Linked DNA regions of Coturnix japonica. The protein of the gene in region 2 interacts with the protein of the main gene of each other region in a pairwise test. Links are inferred from orthologs where the notes say so. Each region holds a gene or a part of one and is shown on either strand. Other genes may lie near its edges.

Region 1 (7,330 bases), on a different chromosome or scaffold from region 2:
CACTCCCACCCATCAGCAGAGCACCATCATTGAGCACAACGTGCACCTGCCCAGCACTGCGTGCTGCAGAGCTCCATCCCGATGCCGTTACCTGTGGGCAGCACAACGAGGACCAGCTCTCTCAGACTCCCATGGCCGCGCAGCAGCGATGGTCCCTCTCACATCCTCCCCATGGCCGTGGGCTCACGCTGACCCCTGGCAGCGCAGCTGAGACCCCAAACACGGGTGTGCTCCCCACCGCCGCCGTTCGCTCTTGCTCGCTGCCTGCCCCGGTTTCCTGCCTCCTGAGCAAACTCTAGAGGAGCTGCTTCGCAGTTCGTGCACAACCGCAAGCGCTGGTGACAAACCCCGAGGCTTCCTGCCATCCCCAGCTGGGCTGTGTGTTGGGGTCCTGCTCCAGGTGCCCTCTGCCCTGGGATCGGGTGGGTTTGGGGGCACCGAGCCCCTTGGTTGGGGTGGAGTGGGGGCACACAATGGGCCACATGCTGTAGGGGGGCCGTGATGGGTGCGACGCTGTCACCCGAAAGGCTGCAGAGCCCCCCAGTCCCTTTAGAGCCCCCCAGTCCCCTTAGGGCCCCCTGGTCCCTTTAGAGCCCCCTTCCCAAAGCTCAGTGCTGTGGGACAGCAGTGGCAGCTCCGGTTGTGCCGTACCCCCACCAGACCCTGCTGGGCTGTGAGACACCTCCTGCACCCACAGCCCCACTTTGGCCATCACCACCACACGCCCCCCACACCTCAGTCCCCCAAGAGCAGCATTGACAGCTGAAATGGGGACAGACCGGAGGGGACGCCTCGTGCCCAGGCTGTGCCACACCACCAGCCCGGTGTTTTCAGAGACAGCTCTGAGCAGAGCAACCACAACGCTATTGTCTCGGCTTCCACCATCAAAGGCAAAGCCGCAGGTTCCCACCAGCTGCTTTGCAGCAGGGCAGGCAGAACCACCAAGCTGTGCCGGGGGGCACCGAGCGCTGCACCCACCCTTATGGGGACATTCCTCAGCCCCACACCCAGCGTGTTCCCCAGCACCATGGGTGCCCCTGGGCAAGGGCTCACTGCCAGCCCCTGCCATGTGCTGCTGCCTCAGGGGATCGTGCAGCTCTGCCTGTTTCCTCCTGGTACCCCAGAACGGTCCCTTGAACCATCCCACCACTTCCTGGGTCACCCCGTATCACCCCGGGGCAGTGCTTGCAAAATGTGTTTTGCCACACGCTAAGAGTGGCAGCTCCTTGGGCAAAGGGTTTGGTGTGAACAGGGGAAGGGCTAAGAATGGAAAAGCAAAGCCCTGCAACAAGGACAGCCATAGGCAGAGCCCACAGCGCCTCCAGCACCGGGGGTGGCCATGGGGTAGCGTGGGGCTGCCGAGCACTGAGCACAGCCCCAGAACCTCCAGGCCCCACAACCCACGCAGCTGTTGGCAGTGAGCACTTCCTGCAGCAGCGCAGCCCCAACACCCATCGCAGTCAGTTCGTGGGCAGGGGCTGGCAGTGGGGTCCTCACAGCAGAGACCCTTTTTTCCCCAGCGTGGATCCATCCCAAAGCAGAAACCATTGAGGAAACCAGCCCACAGGGCAGAGCTGGGAGCGGGTCCCCTCCTGGCACCCCAAGGGGTTGGTGGCACTGCAGGAGGCACCTGGTTGTGCACAGCAGGAAGTGCTTCTTCTCACCATCACCTGCTTTTATTCCTCCTCCAAGTGCTGCTCCCCACATCCTCCCCTGCCGCTGACCCCCACCACACACAGCACCCCACGGGATGGCACGTCTCCATTAGCACAAACAAGATGGAGCTCAGCCCTGAGCCCGATGTCCCTGCAGCGCTTTGGGGCACCTATGAGCCTCTCTCAACCCCCAGCTGCACCCATGGGTGCCCGCCGGGCCCCGCTGCACTCAGCAGAGGGAGAAGCGCCGGGAGTTGATGTTCATGCGGGTGACACCGATGTGCTTGAGCGGCATGGAGAGCAGGAAGGCGGCCTTGGGGGGGATGGTGCAGAGCAGATCCGAGTCCTCCTCGCAGCCCTCGAGGCCGAAGGTGGCGTCGTCCAGCATCTCCTTGTGCCGGTGGCAGACCTGCTCCACCTTCAGCCGGTTCAGCTGCGCCCGCAGGCGCATCAGCTGCTGTGCCAGGCGCTGGTCCGCAGCCTGCAGCTCCTGCTGGGGGGGAACGGAGCTGTCGGCAGGGGCTCAGAGCCAGCAGGGCTGCTGTGACAGCAGGGCTTGGTGCCAGAGCCTCGGGGAATCAGGAATACACACAGAGCCCACGTGTGCAGCACAGGCTGGGCACAGGGACTGGGATCTGCCCAGGTAGGTTTGCAGCCATGAGGCTGTTGCTGCCTGCACAAAGCAGCAGGGAGGGCTGACAAATGCAGAGCCACAACCCGCAGCGCTGGGCAGGGCAGGAGGGCAGAGCTGCAGCCCCGGGCACAACCCCACAAGCAGCGGCCGCGCTTGGAGCGGGAGCAGAGCTGTGAGCTGCAGCGGGAGCAGCCCTGGTGGGGTCAGGCACCGCCCCTCCGTGCCCCTCACCCTCAGCGTTACTCACCAGCTCCATCCTCAGCCACTGCAGAGCCTCCTCCATACCAGGGAAGCCACAGACGCTGCCGTCCCGCTCAGCCCCGGGCTGCCCCGAGGTCCCCTTCGCCCCCCGTGGGGTCGGGCTGCCCCAGGGCTGCCCCCGCACCCGCGCCTCCCACTCCAGGTACGAAGGGCGGCGGGTCTGCAGCTTCAGTTTGGCCGTGAGCGCCTTGACCCCAGCCAGGCTCTCCTCACCTGCAGCCGGTTCCTCCGCGCCCAGCTCAGAGAAGTTCACCTGGCCCAGGGCCATGGCTGCAGCCCGGCTCCCAAACCCCAAACGACCCCAAATCTCCAATTGCAGCTCCCAGCTCCCAGATCCCAAACCCCAGCGCACCCAGCAGGACGAGGAACGGCTGCGCCGAGTGCCGCCTATTTATCTACCCCCGGAACAATAAAGGTTGGGGATAATTATAACGGGCAGGAACTCGGCTTATCCAGAGGCGTGCAAAGAAGTTGCTTTTTGTTGTTGTTTTTATGTCCCTTTTCTTTCCTATTTGAGCGCCGCTGTCTCCGGTTGGGAGGCGGCTCCGTGTCCTCCCGGATGAAGCGCGGGGCGGTCGCGGGACGCGGTGCCGGGCTGAGCCGTCCCGCTCCACTCGCTGCGTGACACACCGACTTCCCGTCCGGGGCCGCTAAAAAAAGGGCGAAGGAAACGAGCAGCTCCACGTGCCCGCGGGGCGGAGTGCGGGGCCGTGGGCGCCCGGCAGCTGCGGGACAGCTGTGCGCTGCTGCGGGGCCTTAAGGTGGGTGCGGCGGCCCGGAGCCCCTCGCCCCCCGCTGCCGTCCCCTGACCCCACACGGCCCCGCTTGCTCCCGTTGCGGGGCTGCAAACGCGCGTGCACCCCCGGTGTGACCCCTCCCCGTGTCCCCTGACTCACTCCCCGGCCCCGCATCCACCGGCGGGGCCACCTTAACCCGCCCCCCCCCAGCGGCTCCGTTCCTGCTCAGCCCCGCACCCCGCGTGCCCCCTGTGTGCCCCCCGCCCGTCACCCCCCGGAGCCGTGGATCCATGGGCGGGGGTGGGTATTGGGGTTGGGGTGCACTGTGCGAGCCGCCCCCTCCTCCTCCTCCTCCCTTCTTCCTCCTTTTTCTCCCCTCTTCCTCCTCCTCCTCCCGCCCCACAGAACGGAGCCGATGTGAGGCTGCAGCCGGCCCAACTCCCCCCCAGGTGCCCCCCAGCCCGCACCGGGCGCGGCGTCCCTGCACCCACAGCCCCCCGAGCCCCGCGGGTCTCTGCCTCAGTTTCCCCACTGCGGTGACAGCAGCGCCGGGGAGGGGAGGAAACCAGCGCAGCTCAGCAGGGAGGAAGCGGCATCGGCTTTAGGTGACGACGCGAACGGGACGGGGGTGGCTGCACTGCGGGGAGGGACGGGGGGGTGGGGGGGCTCCAGCCGGGCTGTGCCGCTCAGGATTTCCCCTTTCTCCCTCCAGCACCGCCATGGAGTTCTCCGAGCTGATCAAAACGGCCACGGTGGAGAGTGTGCTGCTGTCGTGTGCGGGGCAGCCGGCGGTGAAGGGCACCCTGTGCATCACCAGCCACCACCTGCTGCTCTCCTCCTGCCCCGGCGGCGACGGGCAGCCCAGCGCCGTGGAGCTCTGGCTGCTCATCCGCAACGTGGACGCCGTGGAGAAGAGGTCGGTCCTTTCCCACCCTGTGTCCCCTCTTTGTCCCGTCCTGGATGGGGGTGATTCCCGGCTGCCCTCCCGGCACCGCAGAGCCTCCTCTCTCCTCTTCCCCATGGCCTGTGGCAGTGGCCATTGACCTCCTCTTCTCCTCCGTGCCCCAGAGTGCAGAATGTAGGCTGGTATCAGCCCCCCCACAGCAGCGGCTCCCCGCGGGACAACAGGTTTGGCTTTAGGTGCTCTCAGCTCCTCCATCTTGCCCGGCAGTGCCCGGCCCCACGCAGCTCAGTGGGGCGAGGATGGCTATGGCTGCTCAGAGGGGAGCTGGTGGGAGTCACAGCTTCAGGCACACCGAGATCCACCGGGAGCCCCGCTCAGTGCTGTGCCCTTCTCAGCCCCCCCGGACAGAGGGCAGCTCCGTGCTGTCTGCACGTGCAGCCCCTCCTGCCCTGACCCCGCTGCCCTCCCCAGGCTGGCCGGCTCCTCCGGCACCATCACACTGCGCTGCAAGGACCTGAAGGTGCTGCAGCTGGAGATCCCGGGCATGGAGGAGTGCCTGAACATCGCCAGCTCCATCGAGGTGAGCCGTGCCGGGCTGCAAAGGGTTCAGGTGGCTGCCCACGGTGTTTGCTCTGGGTCTGCCATTAACGTGGGTAAACACTCAGCTGCTCGGGCTGTGTTTGCATGGGGCACCCGCGCTGCCAAGTCTTGCAAGAAGGAACGGGGATGGGGTTTGCAGGGAGGACATTCCTGGCCTTCCCCCAGCTGTGCTGTGCTGTGCTGTGCTGCAGGCCCTCTCCTCGGTGGACTCCGTGATGATGATGTACCCCTTCTTCCACCGGCCCCAGACCCTGCGGCTGGAGGAGGGGTGGCCGCTGCTGCCCATGGAGCAGCACTTCCAGCAGATTGCCACGCAGGTTGGTCTTGGGGGGGAGGGAGGGTGTCACATCCCACCCTTAAGGAGAGGGAAGGGGTGACGGGATTGGTCCTTTACTCCTGGCTGGGGTGCAGGGGGAGGCCGCTCCCCCCTCCCACCTTCACATCTCCCCCCAGACCACCCAGTGGCGGCTGAGCGACGTGAACCAGGACTTCTCCATCTGCCCCACGTACCCTCCGGCCGTCATCGTGCCGGCGGCTGTGAGCGAAGAGACCCTGCGGAGGGCGGCCCGGTTCCGGCAGGGCGGGCGCTTCCCCGTCCTCAGCTACTACCACACCAGGAACGGCACCGTGAGTCCACATCCCGCCCCCCTTCCCTCTCCTCCCACCCCGCTGCCCGCAGGCGATGCCCGCAGCCCCCTTCCCGCAGGTGATGCTCCGCAGCGCGCAGCCGCTGACCGGCCCAAACCGCAAGCGCTGCCCGGAGGATGAGATGCTGCTGGGGTCGGTGCTGGACGAGGGCGAGCGGGGCTTCATCATCGACACGCGCTCAGCACAGACGGCCAAACAGGCGCGGATGACGGGAGGGGGCACGGAGCCCAAATCCTCGTACCCGCAGTGGAAGAGGCTGCATCGGCCGCTGGAGCGGTGAGTGCTGTGCTGAACTCAGCTCCAGCCCCAGCAGCACAGCCGCAGCCCCTCACCACGCTGCCTTCCCTTCTCCTCCCTCCCTGCCCAGTGGCCGCCCGCTGCAGGAGAGCTTCATCAAACTGGTGGAGGCCTGCAATGATGCTTCGCTGGGCATGGACCGCTGGCTGGGCCGGCTGGAGAGCTGCCGCTGGCTGAGCCACGTGAAGGCAGCTCTCAGTACAGCCTGCCTGGCTGCACAGTGCCTGGACAGGTAGGGGGCCGCGCATCCCTCCCCTCACCCCAAGGCCAATGCACAGGGTGCAGCTGGCTGAGCCTTGGCTGTGCCTGCAGGGAGGAGAGCAGCGTGCTGGTGCACGGGGCAGAGGGCACAGACACCACGCTGCTGGTGACAGCGCTGGCACAGGTGATCCTGGAGCCAGAAAGCCGCACACTGAAGGGCTTCCAGGGGCTGCTGGAGAGGGAGTGGATCCAGGTGAGGGGCAGCAGGAGCTGAGGTGGGGGTCCTGTGGTCTCCTGCAGCCCTGTTACCGCTACCACATGGTCCTGCAGGCTGGCCATCCCTTCCATCTGCGCTGTGCCCACTCCGCCTACTCACACGCACGGCTGAAGCAGGAGGCTCCGCTCTTCCTCCTCTTCCTCGACTGCGTGTGGCAGCTGAGCCGGCAGTTCCCCTTCTCGCTGGAGTTCAGTGAGGGGCTGCTCCTCACCCTCTTTGACAACGCCTACGCCTCCGACTACGGCACTTTCCTCTGCAACAATGAGAAGGAGAGGCAAGTGGCAGGGACATGGGGACAGCAGTGCCCCACGAGCGATGCCATTGTGCCCCAGAGCAGACCCTGATCCACAGGCACAGACCCCTGGGTCCATCAGTCACCATCCCGGGTCAGTCCCAGGACTGAAGCATGTCTCTGTTCTCCTGTAGGTGTCTGTGCAAAGTGAAGGAGAGCACACACTCCCTCTGGGCCTGGCTGGACCAGCCCGAGGAGAGGAAGAAGTACCTGAACCCCCTGTACTCACCCAACCCACTGGTCATCTGGCCCTCGGTGGAGCCCCAGAGCATCCAGCTGTGGCAGGGTATGGTGCTTCAAACTCAACCTCAGGCTTTCCCAACCCATCTGGGTTGCATGCAGTAGCTCTGCCTGTCGCTCCTGCAGCAGCACACAGCCCAGCTGACACAGCCCAGCTGACACAGCCCCTTGCCCCCTAGGCTTGTTCTTCCGCTGGATCCGCTCATCCCAGTACCTGGATGAGGCGTGGGCAGAGATATGGCGGTTGGTGGAGGGCAGCAACGCAGCTGTCAAGGAGAGCACAGAGAACAGGCTGAACCGCTCGCTCTCTGACCCCACTGCCCGGATGGAGAATGAAAGATGAGCAGCAGCACGAGCACCATGTCCTGGAGATCATCCCCATCACCGGGGGCTCATACACCAATGCAACACAGTGCTGCAGCTCTGCAGGAATCGCTGTGCAGGACACACAGCCTGCAGGGCCCAGAGGAGCCTGCAAGGGCCAGAACTGTAGGGACAGCCCTGGGAATGGGGGCCAGACTCAACTGAGCTCCCTGTCAGCCACGCAGCCTGAGCACATCCCAGTAAAGTGGTCTCTCTGTTTG
Region 2 (7,330 bases):
AAATCCCAAGAGTTTTAAAGCTTCTCATACTCTATACTACGTTGTACTCCTTGATATTCCCCTTTAGCTAGATTCTTCAGAGTTATGAAATCAACGCTTTTCCCATTACATTGATTCATATGTGGTTAACACTGAATTCATAGAAAATCAGCTAACAAACAAACTCGAAGTCAACTCCAGAGTTAAGGCACTTGCTCCAGTCCAGTATCTCCTTCCCAAAACAAGCACAAACACATTGTTCAGTGCAAATCCCAAAGCAGGCCATGTAAACAGATTGGCTTTGCTGCATTCCCTGGAGTTTAAGAGAAAGGAGGCTTTTTCAGATCCATGGTGACTTCCCATCATGATTATGGTTACTGGAGAACAGCCTGCCACCCTGACATTTAATTCTGAAATCTGATGTACTTAGGTCATAACATAATCACCTCCTCCTCCTCCCTGGCTACTCCAGCTAAACCTCTCCCTTTTACTCATCTCATTAGTAACCAACATTGTGTTTACAAAGCAATAGTAAACAGTTATCCATTGTCAAGGCAGAAAAATAATTACAAAAAAAAAAAAAATAATACAGGGTCACAGTTTCATCCGCTGATCAGATAAGAACATTTGAAACTGTCATAATAATTTCCCTATGGGTAGAGCTCCTTCTGAATTTGGTGGCACAAGGTGACCGCTAACTCTTTATCCATCGATTTGGCATAAGTTGAAATTCTGAAAACTAATTAACTTCAGCAGTCAGCACCAACTGACTGCTAACTATGCAAACTATTCCGGCCAATGAACAAAGTCTGGTTGCAGCTTTGGGGGTACCATTCAAAAGGTTATTCAGCTCAGCCTTCAAGGAATCTTGACATGCTTTTTCCCTCATTTTTTTTTGGCCTAGGACACAGACATTCCCCAGATTTTGTTCATGACTGCAGCTCATCTGCTATGTGTATCTAAATGGACATTAACCGTCTCAAACTCCATCGGTGTCTGACTGCCTGGCTACAGTCTTGGACACAGTCTGCTCCTGAATCCAAGAGCTGATGAAAGACAACTGTGGTTCTCTTTTCTTTCACTTCTCCATGTTTAAGCACACACACTTCGCACAGCTCCCACCATGAGTTCAGCCTGTCCCACCAACGTCATCTGCAGAATGAAGTCAGTTGTACGCATCTCAGGATCCATGTGAGATCCTTTCCTTTACATACTACGTAAAGAAGGATCGCTCAGGAAACCTAGGCTTCTATAGTCCTTGTAAAGGAAGAGACAGAGCTTTCTCTACTTCAAGTTTATAATCATGGAAATCTACCCCATTTTATTTATTTTTACCTAAAAAAGATACTCCGTGAGGTCTTTTTAGAGAATGAGTGCCCATTGGCTGAGACAGTGAACATCTGCTAAGATAATTCACAGCAGCCCACATTTTCTGGCTTCTCAAAGCTGATTTCCATGTGTGCTGAAGCTCTCCTCTACCCAGTGCTGTGCAAGTACAGTTAGAATCACAGAACAGTTAAGGCTGGAAAAGTCCAACCCACCCCACGTAGTTGGCTTGGTTATAGACTATCCATCTTTGTTGCCCCATTCCAAATGCATCAGTCACTGAGCACTTCTGTGCTCATGGAATATTTATATAGTGAAAGGTTCATAAAGCAACTGTGCTTATCTGATTGATAAGAGAGGGCAGCCACCCCAATGGACTTTGGACCCAAGATGGCAGGTGGTCCCCAAGATGGCGGGCGGTCCCCAAGATGGCGGGCAGCCTCAGCCCCAAGGAGCTGCTCATGGCCATCGCCCACCTCTCAGTTTTCAGAGATTTGTGTTTTCCAGCAGTTGTTTATTACAGTGCAGCACTTCTATCAGCAATTGATTGTCACCAACCGCTGATGCCTTTTACCACTTCCCAGCAACCTGTTCTTTAGAACACAAAGTTGTTTCCAGAGCGCTTTAGAATGACCAAATCCAGCAAAACCAGCCTGAAGACACAAAGGAAAACCCACAGGCTGAGCCATGAGCTCCCAGCCAAGAGTGCCCACCAGCTCCCCTCCGTCTCCTGCCCCGGCAGCTCAGCGCCGCGCAGATGGAGGAGGAGGATGGAGGAGGAGGAGGAGGATGGAGGAACCACCTTCCTTCCTTCACGTGATTTCGAGGAAGGGGAGCGGTGACACCACAGCCCGCAGCAGCTGGGGAACCTCCGGCTCCTCCTCCAGCAGTAGGGAAAGCGAAAGCAGAAGCCGGCGGCTGTGGGAGGGAAGGGGGGAGGGAGAGCCATCCCGACGGGAGATCCGCAGGTAGCGCTGTGTGGGGCCGGGGGGCTCATGAAGCTCCCTATATATATCATTGTTGCATCTAATTCCTTTCTTTTAGACGATGTTGGCTCATTATATGGTATTTCATTCAGAGCTGTTTGCCACATTTAGAGCTATAAGGCATAACTTTGTCATTTTTTTCCCCTCAGGTTGCAATGGATTCAACAAACCCACCGTATTCTTCGGGAGATAATGGTTTGGTGAGTAGCTCCTGATGCTCTGTATTTGGTTTCTCGGAGTGCAGATTTGTGCTTGGAGTGCTGGGACAGTGCTCCTCAAACCCCTGTCCCACTGCATTCCACCCTTCAGTACTCGGGGCATTCCTCATCCACCTCCTTTAATCACACCTTCACTTCCAGGTGACGTTGCACCAGCTCTGCACCTTGCACTGCATTAGGGCCTGGCCTTGTGCTTCCTTTCCTGCCTGCCTTCTGTCTCCATAGGAGAGTCCAATCCTGGATTTCTTGTGTTTTCCTGTTGTTTTTTTTCCCTTCAGGTTGAATATTGCTGCCTTAGTGCATTTTCCCTACCAAGCAGGCATCCTTTCTTATCAGGCTCCAGCTGCAGCACGTGCATCGTTCTGCTTTCCTGCATTCACTCCCACGAGTGAAGGAATATTTGCTGGTTTTCAGTGATACGCAGATGGGGGTTTCCCTGTTGCTTAACAGGACTTTGAAACTGGACAAAGTAGTTGAGGAAAAATATTTTATATGTTATTGTTTTTAGGAAAAACCCAGAATTATCAAGAGAATTAACCAGATAATCTGACAGGCCTTTTCCAAGCCTGAGTTTCATGGTTCACATTCAAGTTTTATGTAATCTGAAGTAAAAGGGAGGGATTGCTTCACGAGGTCTCTTTGGATTTTTTTTCTCTCTTTTTTTTTTTCCCCCTTGCAGAATATTGCAGTCATAGAAACAAAACAGAACAGAGATTTTCTCTCTTCTTGAGCTTTATCCAGTTGTCACTTCCCTGTGCTTGTGAACTTCTGCCCTGCCATGCTCGCAGTCTGAAGTTCTTCTGTTGCCTTTCTCTCACCTGATATTACCATTCCTTATCTAACCGAGCTTAGAAACATCCCATTCTGTAGTCTCTTTCTTCTCTTCAGGCTCTATACACCCTCTTAGAGGAGCTGCTGAGAAAGCCTACAGATAAACCTCGGTGGGACTCGGGGGCTCAGTTCTCAGTAGAAGAACACAGAGGCCACTTGCTTTTATGGTTTATTAACATACCAACCTGTGAGTGCTTCCAGCTGGATAGTTAGAAAATAATGAGCATGGACCAGTTTCCATTTGCTTAGATTTTGGTCCTGTCCAGCCATGAAAGTAGTTCATTTTGTACTAAGTTTGTACTAGGTTTTACAGGAACCTTTGGTTATGAAGTACTTCAATGATTCTCTAACTGGGAAATAAAACTCAGTGTGTCTTTTCTCTACAGCATGTGACAACCGCTGACCTTCCTGACACATCAGAAGAGATGGAAAGTCTTAAACAGGAACTGGAGAAATGGAAGGCAAGTTCTACAAAGTGTGTGGAAATTAGATGGAAGATACCTGGAAGGGCATTAATCTGCTCTTCTACATCTAAATCCACTCCCCTCCCATCATAATAGATGTTTGTCTAACATGCTCTCTGTTCTTTAATGCTATATGCCTACGTTAACCTCAGTGGTGGCTACACTTGCAAGTCTAAGAGAAATATTTATCCAAAGCATTAAAACTAAGCACAAGTAAAGGGTTTCCCTAAGGTTTTGTTTGTTCTTGTGGAGATAGAAAATCTGAAAGTCTTTTTACCATCCAGGAAAGATTTGAACAAGCTGAGAAAACAAAAACCGACCTTCAACATAGCATATCAACTGCTAATGAAGAATATGTGAAAATACAGCATGAGCTGACAGAGCTAAAGGATGCTCAAGAGAAACTTAATAAAGAGAGTGGCATGTCTAAGGCCGTCTATGAGGTATGGAGAAGGCTTACTCGTGACTGTCAGTATTGGTGGAATTGTGGGGGAAGTATTGGTTAGGGAAGGTAATATTTCCATTCCAGTTGAAATAGCTTTACCAGTTTGCAGACTGTGGGACTAATATTTTAAACATGGGTTTTCAATGTCAGATGAAGAACTGGTGCGATTAAATAAGTCTTACAGGAATGAGAAACTGAGACTGATCTTATGTGGAAAATGAAGATAAAAAACAGTCTTCCAAGATTCTCCTCTAACTGATATATTTCAGCTTTGTGTGATGAAGATAGAATTGAATGGGACTGAATGGGTTGTTTCCATTGCTTCATTAAATCCCAGCACCTCCTAGACGAGGTTACAGCACCCAAGGGATTGGCATTTCTTAAGTGACAGTAAGCTGGGCAAAGGCCAAACGCGGTCTGAAGATGGCTCTTCTTTCTGGAACAAATTGGTTCATTACCTCAGAGTGCTGTGAAGTCGTCAGTACAGCAAAAGAGTTTTCCACAGGCTGTAAAAGAGCTGGTTTCTGTGTCATTTTGTTTAGCCTGAGAGCCACTGATGAGCAAGTTATGCTTCCATATTGCAAGCTGGGTGACTTATTGTATGCAGTATATCCTTGGAAAAACCAACACTCTGTTTGAAAGTCCTTACTGTAATTTGCTTTGATTGAAACTGCTCCTTGGTGAGTGCATTTGCCTTGCAGATAGGTAAAGTTATGGAAAAATGCCTCATGCTTGGTGGTAATATTTGAAAGCTGAAACACTTTCTAATATCTACAGATTTTGCTGAAACGTACTTCTATCTCCTGTATGTTTAATTTTGCATTTAATACTTTTTGGGCTGTAGACAGAGCTTTGTGTGCTAGACCACGATAATTCTGAGCTGAAGAGAGACATTGAGAAGCTCAAAGAAGAGCTTGCAGAATGTTGTTCAGCGCTCTCGCAGGATGGTAAGGTAATGCTTGCAATATTTTACAGTTATTATTTTAGAAGGACACATTTTTGGTCAATTCTAGACTGTTGAGGTCAGCTGTTTACAGTCATAGAATGACCTGGGTTGAAAAGGACCGCAATGATCATCTGGTTTCAACCCTCTGCTATGTGCAAGGTCACCAAACACCAGACCAGGCTGCCCAGAGCCACATCCAGCCTGGTTTAGCATTTAAAGCTCAACTGATTTCAGTATAAAGTACAGCTTGATGCTTTATTTTCTTACTTTATTTGGCAAGAAAATGTGAAAAAGACTAAGGATATGGAAACAAATATGAGTGTGTGAGATACTGATGAGTGAGAAAAGTGAAGAAAAGTAGAAAATAAATTAAGTGGAAGACATTGGAGTAAAAAATGCACGTAGTATTGCTATTAATTTTCAAGTGCTCACATTTAGTATTCCTTGGGTGTGAGGATGGCAGAAAGAATGAGTCCTTTGGCAGTAGTGAGAACAGAAAGAGAACAAGCTCTGAGTTAAGATGCTGGTTTTGAAGATAGGTGACAGAAATGCTTTTATTGCTCAGGCTGTTTTGTCTTGGAGGAAAACAGTATTTTCCTTTTATTTTGAAACAGTTTCAAAAGGGGAAAGAGACGCATCTGAAACTCCCTGGTATCTATTAAAGTAGGCTTTCCTAACCAATGTTTTCATGAGTACTCTTACCTACTCTCATTATAAAATACTTCTGTTTTACTACGATGGTAATATGCAAGGTAATTTATGAACAGATTCACCATTGCTGTAGAACAATAATGCAAGTAAGTAAAAAGAAACGATAGCGATGACTCTCATACTTACTTTACAACTTCCTGTTGTAAATTAAATTACATGAAGTTTGTTCTCTATCTTGATTCTAAAATACTAGATTAAAAAAAGGGTGGCAGAAATGAAAGTGGAGTTCACTCGCATGGAAGACACAGAGGGTGACATTCTGGATATGAACACCCACTGCGTTTTTTCTGTAACAACAAGAATCCCATTCAAACTGAACCAAAACCGAGCACTGCTTACTTTGGAAGATGAAGAAGGTATGATGCATATTTGAAGTATAAAATGAACGGCTGATGTATTTCATTACCATAATGGGTGACTCCATTATGCATGTATACTGCAGATACATCTGATCCATTATTTCAGCTAAAATCTAACAGCCTTAGTGGGCATTCTCCACTGCTGGTAGTGATGTGTTTTTATCTGTGGGTTTTTGAAATAAAATACCAAAAGTCCAGTATTGATATTTCATACAGTGAGAGCATCCTTTGACAGTATCTTTTATTCTAGAGACAGTATGGTGTTTTAGCTGTTGCCTATAGCTAGTGAGATTGAACAGCAGCAGATATGCCTGAAGTTGTGGGCAGTTAGATATGGTTGCCTAACTGTCAGTTATTTCTCCTTTAACAACATGAAAGGAGATTTTGCTTAAGAGACTGACAGGTTGTCAAGTTACAGTGATGAAACAAGGCTTTTCTTACCTGTAACCTTGTGATTTTTCCTTAGTTGCCCAGAGACTGACAAAAATGGGTAAGCATACTGTGAACCTGGATGGAACTACAGCAGATGTGAAAGTGGTGCCTTTTACAGTTGGACTGGGAGTCAAATTTGAGGTAATCAGCTGAACTATGAAATGACAAAGATACACACTTGCAGTACTTAAGAAGCTTTAGGTTTGGTTTTGTGGGTGTTCTCGATCACAAAATGCACAACAATTATTTCTTTAGCTCCACATCACAATTTCTGGAAAGAAGATCAATGTTTCGGAAATCCCTGAGCTGCCAATTCCTGATGAATGGATGAAAGACAAATTAGAGCTGAATTTCTACAAATCTGAATACGGAGGAGGAGTAGTAGAAAATATAAGATATGACAAGAGGTCCAGAACAGCTGTGATTACGTTCACTAGACCTGGAGGTATTGCATGTAATGTTTTGTTAGCTGGATATACAAGCCACGTTGTCCCTTTATTCCCTTATGTTCTGAGTTAACTTAACCAGTGAATACAGCTAATTCTTCCCCAAGGAGAGTTAAATTGATCAGGAAAAGATGTAGGTTCACCCACACATTTGTGAATAAAGCAGTGCTTCATCACATTCCTTTTT
Region 3 (7,230 bases), on a different chromosome or scaffold from region 2:
GACCAGAGATAATGTTGCCCTTCCATATGCAGATTATTTCACATTCCAGTGCTAAATCCCAAACTACAGAATACCCTTGTCATAGTTTTACAAGGTTTTATTCAATGCATTTTTACATTTTTAGCAGTAAAACACAGGAGAGTGATAGCGTTACTGCAGTAGGACACAAGAATACACCTTTTATAGGGCAGATAGTACTAAGATTAAGGGCAGAGGAAAGGGAACAGTAGTTTACAGCTGGATTTTAGTCTTTCACAAATGGAAATCTAAAAAGAACTTACAATGTTATTTTTGCTTGTTTATTTGTTTTTCTCATTAGAACTGGATGCTTAATTTCAAAGTGTTTAAAGAATAAACAGAGTGTGCAACAGTGTGGCTCTCACATATTATGAATTCATCATAGAGATACCAAGAACTCACTGCCCCAAACACACTCGGCTCTGCTCCCACAAGCAGGCGAGGCAGGGGCACTTGGCTCTACACAGCTACTAGGGCTGTAACAGCAGTAACACAGAAATGAGGACAGTCTTCAGTCCTGCAGGATGGGGACAAACTTACTTTTAAAGGAACTTATTTACAGTGTGGGGTCTTGAAATGGGAGAGATTAAGGCACTTACTGGAAAAAAAGGGCCACATTATGGGGCCAGGTCTAAAGAAAGAGTTGGAGCTGGAGCTTTCTGATAGTAGTCTGGGTGATGCTGATGGCTTGAGGCTGTCAGACTGTGCCTACCCAGGTGAGGAAGTGAAGAGGAGCAGACTTTTGAGACTGAACCCATATTACCTTAGGGTAACATGGAGTCTAGAGTCAGACAGGAGTGGTAGTGTTGCAGGTGGCTCAGTGATATAGCACAGCATCAGGCACAGAGAACCCCTGGCACAGGGACTCTGAGGAGCCTTCTGGGGCATACCCTAGTTCCCACAGACAGATATCTTTTGGCTTGTTCTCCAAAGGAGAAGAGGTCAAGATAAATATTCTGCTGTGCATCAAAAGGTTTCTTGGTTTTTGGTATCCTTAACCACGAATTTTTGCATTCTGCATGTGTTCTCTGTAATTATTCAGCTCAGAAGGAAGGATGAGCAAGATGCAAGATCCTCTGTAACACGTTCCCTTTTCTTAAAAATATATATATATATATATATATATGTGGATTTGCATGATTGCTACTTCCAAGACATCTAATTTCACCTCATACCAGAGCTGTTCAGTGTGACTTCAGTGCAAAACACCAGTTTTTCATTTTATATTCAGCTTCATTTATTACTCCAGTGAGATTTAAATCACAGCAATGATATTATGCTATGACACTCTTTGGTCCATTAAAACAGAAAAAAATATGTTTGAGGAAGGGTGTTTCAAAGCAATGGAAATAAGATTCCAGACATACAAGTTTAGTTTCTCAGTCTGTCTTTGACTTTCCTGAAGTGAGGGCACCTTGTTGCTCTTCTCCCTGCTCAGGGCTGCATCTATGCCATGGAGAAGAAAGAGACATGAACAGTTTTTAATCAGCAAATGAGAGGTAAAATGAACTTCTGATTTAACTAAATCTATGAAGGAGCTCAAGTTTTTGTGTTCAATTTTGACTCCAGGTTCTGAAGCAGGAATCCCTTATATCCGAACCACTGCCCAGCTCCCTCTGTAATTCCACCTCTTCTGAGTGGAAGCCCTTCTGGAGTCACACTTTGTTCTATTCTGTTTGTGAGCACACACACATTTTCTTGTGCAAAGTTCACAGCACAAACACAATTTCAGAGTGATTTCTGCCCATTACTGTATCATTAACAGATGGCTCCAGCAGTTTTCCTCCTGTCATCCAAGGCTTTGTCATCTCTATAACATTCTGGCAGCAAAAGGACAAACGTCCTCTACCTTGAGCAGCAGTTGTTCAAGATCAGTCTTGTGATTTGCATGCTAAGTAGAGCTGGGGCACTTGGTATTCAGCTTAGTTTAAGAATAGGACCTGAATCAACACCCTTTCTGTCACATTTATGATATGAATTATACCTCATTCGAGTCAGCAAAAGCTTTATTCAGATATATTTACAGAAAATATGCATATGCAGTGTTATCAGAGGTTTTTATGTAAATGAATAGTTGAAATAGTTGAAGCTTTATTAGAGTATGCATGCCATTTGCATGCTGTGGAGAGATTTCTTAAAATGGTTCTGGCATGATTTGTAACAACAGTAGATATGATACTAGGTATTTAGTATGAGGATGGCATTCACCATCAGGGCAGGCTGCCCTGGAAGTAAACAAGAGGGAAATAAAGTTGTCCATACTTCTTGATTGAAAGCAATGGATCTAAATTATTTCCCCAATCCCTTCCATAAATAAAACAAAATCCAAAACAGAATTGCAATAACTGGTGAAAACATAATCCATCAATCTTTCTTCAAGCCAGGTTCTGATTCTCTGCTTTGATTCTTTGAGAGCCAGCCCATGAGCTTTCCTCGTTTCTACCCCCATCCCAATATCTGTCAATTAGAAGGAAAGGGAAGGAAACTTGTGGAATGCAAAGGGATTCTACAGAAAATAATCCCTCTTTAAAAGTGGAAATCTCAAATTCCATAAATTTGATATGAAGATTTCTAGTTAAAAGGAGGCATTTTAAAAGAGTGGATTTTAAAATAAATCAAAAAGAAATTTGATAAAAGGGTTTTCAACGACTTGCACTAAATATCTTATTCCAAAGCAAAAGCTGTGCTGCAGTTTCATGAACTAAGGCATGCATGAACATCCCCTTTTCAGGGATTACTTTGATCTGAAATTCTGCTTTACATCCATCTTTATACATGCAAATTCGTAGTTATGTAATTTTTTCAAGACCACTGTATAATTTGCTCTCATAATTCAGCATCATGCCTAATGTTGGAGCACATGAAAGCAAGAAAATCTCTGAAGGGGAATACAGACACAGATAATCCTTCAAAGAGTAGCCTTGTGCTACTCTGAAACAGCTTTTCAGAACCACTTGTGTTATGCATCTTATTTACCCTACTGTCTTCTTACTCTACTTAACTTCAGGAGGAAACAATTCAGCGGGCACGGGAGGAAGATGAGAAGAGGAAAGAAATAACAAATCATTTCCAGGGCACGCTGAGTGAAATACAGGCTCAGATTGAGCAGCAAAGTGAGAGGAACATGAAGCTCTGCCAGGAGAACACAGAGCTGGCAGAGAAGCTGAAAAGCATTATTGACCAGTACGAGCTGCGGGAAGAGGTGAGCACTGCAATGCCCATAGGGACCAGCAGCAAACCCAGATCCATGGAGGGAAGTGGAAAGCACTGTGAACATGTCATCCCCACTGACTATCGTTTGGGCATCTCATGGGTAGCTTCTGCTGTGCTTTGCTGTCCAGTTGGGGGCCTGTATGCATCGAGCCAGCAGGATGCCACATGGAATATGTGGGTGAAAAGCTGACCTGATGGCACCCTGCATGCAGTACTCATGGCAGTTATAATGGTGGTGGGAAAAGGGACTGAGGTTCCCATGTAGCAAGATGGGAAAGCTGCCTGCTAATCTCTACCCCCATTCACTTGCTGCTCTCCTAGTCCCAAAGGACCCCAGAGTGCTCATAAAGCACCTCTCAGTTCTACCTTTTTGGACAGCCCGGCCCACAGCCAGATATATTTCTGATCCCCCCAGACACAGGTTGCTGAGGTGACCATTCCCCAGAAACAAAGCTAATAACAAAGGTAAAGCGGGTCCTTTGCATTGGAACAGACTCTTCTTTGCAGGAATAACATTTACAGTAAAATCGACAATAGATGAATTGAAAATTACATCTTTAAATATAAACATTAGAGCAGTTCAGGAAATTTTAACACCAAAAGCCCTCTGGAAAATTCCCAAGCTCCCATTTCTGTGGTGGTTTAATGACAAACACTAGCACATATTGCAGTGGGTCTTTTTATTGTTTCCAAATGTGCTTATTGTGTGGCTCAGTGAAACCAGACAACATTATCACACTGAATAAAACATGAGTAACCTGTCCTCACAATCTGGAATGCCTGATACAATACACTAATTTCTAAATCTGTTGCATCTTGTATGAAGTCTTGCGCTGAAAGAAGGGAACGTACATTCCTGTCTTGTGGTTTCTATGAAAGGAAAATGTAAAGCAGAAGGATGTGCTCAGAATATTGAGCTCTATCTAAATGCTGCAGCAGTGAAGAGTGATATCAGCAGTACTCACTTCCTGAAAGTCACTGGAGCCAGAAGTTTTACAGGCCATAGGAGACCTCATCTGTCCCACTTCCCCTCTCATTTACCCAAGCACTCCAGGCCCACATTATCCATGTGAGGCCAGATCCAATGGGATGTACTAGACATATATATACAGGAGGAGCTGCACACACACTCCCTCAGCACTGGAGGTGCAATCTGTCATCACACATTTACCCACGCAGTGGCTTAGAACCACAGGCTACTTTGCAGCTCCAAAAACAGTGCTTCCCCCACATGTTTCTAATTGATGGGCAGTTTTATGATCTACAATTATACTGGATTATACAGATGACTTTATATGCGTATCGTGGAACTGGAAAAGATGCTGAGGGTTTGCTGTTGTTGGTTTTGTTGTTGTTTTTTGTTTGTTTGTTTGTTTTGGGGGGCTGGTTACACATCAAAATAGATGATGTAAACACATTTCTTTTCCTATGCAAATTCTGGCACAGTTTGTTCTTATCAGCACCATGGCTTTTTCATAGCTGCAGTGGGTTGGGAAACTTCCTGTTTTGCAATATTTTTGTGTCCCAGTAGATAGCTGTGCATGCATGAGCATGAGTGTCTGTGTACATAACTAAACGTGCACATTCAGCAGAATCTATTCTCTTGCAGCACCTTGACAAAATATTTAAGCACAGAGAACTTCAACAGAAATTGGTGGATGCCAAGTTGGAGCAGTCTCAGGAAATGATGAAGGAAGCAGAGGAGCGACATCAGAAGGAAAAGGAATATGTACTTATCATGCTAATCTATTTTTTCTAACTTAATCTACTTTTCTTAATCTAACTTAAGGCCAAGATGAGAGCTGCATGCTATTTCACTAACATTTGATTATTCTGGTCCAAGCCATGACACAGAAGCAGAGTAGCATAAGAGAAGGATTTATTACTACTGCCAGTGCTTGATGTAAAGGAGTAGCATCTGAAAAGCTACTTTCAGGAGCATTTATAGATTTTGAAGTTTGTGTGCAGTAGGTTATAGCACAGACTCCTTCAGCAAACTCACTACTACTGCTCTAATGATTTGTCACGATGTGTCAGATGATGCCATCAGTTTTCAAATGGCTCTGATATTTGATACTCCATCTCCTCACATGGTAAATGATCACATTTAAACAAGCAGGGAGGGGAACAAGGTCTTGTGATTGAATCAGTTGAAGGCCAATATCCCCCCAGGCTCAGAGCCTCCTCAATCATTCTCCTGTGTGTCCAGTTTTATAAATGTAGGAGAACAGGAGCTGCTGCAGTCAAGTCCAACTTTTGGGCCATCCTGTGTAAAACCAGGAGTTGGAACATGATAATCCTTGTGGGCCCATTCCAATTCTAGATAGATGTTCTGTGATTCTCTTCTGCAGAGCCTCCCTCCCCATGATGGTTCAAAACGTACTTCCTCAGGCTGCCTAGCATTTTCACAACTACCTAGCATCTACCAGCATTCTCCACTGGCACAGAGACCCTCTTCTCAGCAGTGGCAGCTTCCCAGGCTACACATAGGGAAAATCTCAACAGCTGGAAGGAACCTGTAGTCCTTAGCAGTCTTCTGACCAGCTCAGGAGTTGCATCAAAGAATTCTGACAGGATTTTTATCCCATCCCCACGTCTGGAAAGAGATGCATTAGCACCAGCATAGCCTAAATACCACAGAATCATAGAATCACCAAGGTTGGAAAAGACCTCCAAGATTATCCGGTCCAGCTGTTCACCTAGCACTAATATTTTCCCACTAAACCATGTCCCTCAGTACAACATCTAAATGTTTCTTGAACACTTCCAGGGATGGTGACTGTGGACAAAACTATGGGATCATGTACAAAGGAAATACAGCAAACACCTCTCACCAAAAATTGTTCATCCTCTTTCTCTGCACTGCCTTTGTGGCTGGGACACCCAGTCCCACTTAATCACAGAGATTGGAAGGTACCTCTGGAGATCAGCTAGTCCAAAACCCTGACAAAGCAGGTTCCCTAGAGTAGGTTACAAATCTTTTCTGCTAGCTAAAAACTGAAAAGTAAGAGCAGCCAGGACTTCTCCAAGTGCACACTGGTGTGTCCCTGTATGACAGTGCATGGTCTGGCTGTACCTGCTCTTTCACTGTGGGGTCTGTGTAAAGCCAGAACCCAAAATTTTCTTCATGACAGTAGAACCTCAGCAGATTTAGTATATTCAAAGTGCAGGGAGCATTTACAATAAATCCCTTACAACAAAAAACAAATTTGGGTTTATTTTACTGCTGCCATTGTGAGTCTTCTTACTAAGACCCAGATTTCAGACAGTGGGGAAAAAAAAAAAAAAGAGAGAGAGAAAAAAAAAAAGACACAAAAGGCAGGGCACTGACTCTGTGACTCTGAAGAAAACCCACACACAGCCATGTATCAGCGACTCTTCTTCCTCTGCTCAGAGAATTTTGGGGCTGTGTGCTACTGTGACTGGCCAAGTTTGTAGCCAAAGTTTCTCACTACAATTTATTCAGTGCAGATATGCATAGTTCAGTTATTTTCATTTCTTATAAAGCAACGAAAATCATCTCCATCTACACACATACAGGAGTGGGAGATTTCCTTTGTGGCTTTGCTGAATGTACGATTAGCATCTATGAAATAGCAGGTTCAAAAACAAGCTACAAAGCCTTTAAGCTGTGGGTGTATAATGATACACACTGTGTTCAAAGACTTTTTTTCACACTATTGAAGCTAATGTTCAAAAAGACTTGCCTTAGAGGGAGTCAGGTGATACATTAGTAACATCACTTTGGAGCAAGGTAGCTTTGGCTGGAGAATATAAGTGACTGGCCAAAAGCCATGCAGCGAGTCAAGGCATAACTAGCAAATCCCAATTTATCACAGACAGCCCAGCACCCAGAGAGCTGGCCTAAACTCGTCTCCCACCTCACTCATAATGCCAAGTTCTTACTCCCACCCACTCAGCTACTGTGTGAGAGAATGTGTGTGTGTGTGTGTGTGTGTATATATATATATATGTATGTATGTATGTATGTATGTATAT

Evidence for each region.
Region 1: the proteins of NMI (region 2) and myotubularin-related protein 9-like interact in binary tests that used the Homo sapiens proteins (3 or more experiments, as listed by UniProt). The two-hybrid records come from large-scale screens. The link is inferred for Coturnix japonica from reciprocal best matches to the Homo sapiens genes NMI and MTMR9.
Region 3: the proteins of NMI (region 2) and TXLNB interact in binary tests that used the Homo sapiens proteins (3 or more experiments, as listed by UniProt). The two-hybrid records come from large-scale screens. The link is inferred for Coturnix japonica from reciprocal best matches to the Homo sapiens genes NMI and TXLNB.

What each region holds. Positions count from the first base shown.
Region 1 is NC_029538.1:4,519,033-4,526,362, forward strand, and holds the start of myotubularin-related protein 9-like, read left to right. Parts: upstream 1-3,202; 5' UTR 3,203-3,311; intron 3,312-3,692; 5' UTR 3,693-3,892; intron 3,893-3,999; 5' UTR 4,000-4,006; coding exon 4,007-4,203; intron 4,204-4,355; coding exon 4,356-4,415; intron 4,416-4,662; coding exon 4,663-4,771; intron 4,772-4,982; coding exon 4,983-5,108; intron 5,109-5,244; coding exon 5,245-5,418; intron 5,419-5,497; coding exon 5,498-5,715; intron 5,716-5,806; coding exon 5,807-5,968; intron 5,969-6,048; coding exon 6,049-6,190; intron 6,191-6,267; coding exon 6,268-6,488; intron 6,489-6,640; coding exon 6,641-6,792; intron 6,793-6,925; coding exon 6,926-7,089; 3' UTR 7,090-7,330. Other genes in the region: protein FAM167B, read right to left, coding at 1,885-2,148, 2,537-2,818. UniProt on the Homo sapiens protein: Acts as an adapter for myotubularin-related phosphatases. Increases lipid phosphatase MTMR6 catalytic activity, specifically towards phosphatidylinositol 3,5-bisphosphate and MTMR6 binding affinity for phosphorylated phosphatidylinositols.
Region 2 is NC_029522.1:30,821,856-30,829,185, forward strand, and holds the start of NMI (N-myc-interactor), read left to right. Parts: upstream 1-2,139; 5' UTR 2,140-2,273; exon of another isoform or gene 2,274-2,276; intron 2,277-2,440; 5' UTR 2,441-2,446; coding exon 2,447-2,491; intron 2,492-3,726; coding exon 3,727-3,801; intron 3,802-4,088; coding exon 4,089-4,247; intron 4,248-5,093; coding exon 5,094-5,201; intron 5,202-6,099; coding exon 6,100-6,262; intron 6,263-6,731; coding exon 6,732-6,838; intron 6,839-6,952; coding exon 6,953-7,142; intron 7,143-7,330. UniProt on the Homo sapiens protein: Acts as a signaling pathway regulator involved in innate immune system response.
Region 3 is NC_029518.1:48,839,617-48,846,846, forward strand, and holds part of TXLNB (beta-taxilin), read left to right. Parts: intron 1-3,025; coding exon 3,026-3,220; intron 3,221-4,840; coding exon 4,841-4,960; intron 4,961-7,230. UniProt on the Homo sapiens protein: Promotes motor nerve regeneration. May be involved in intracellular vesicle traffic.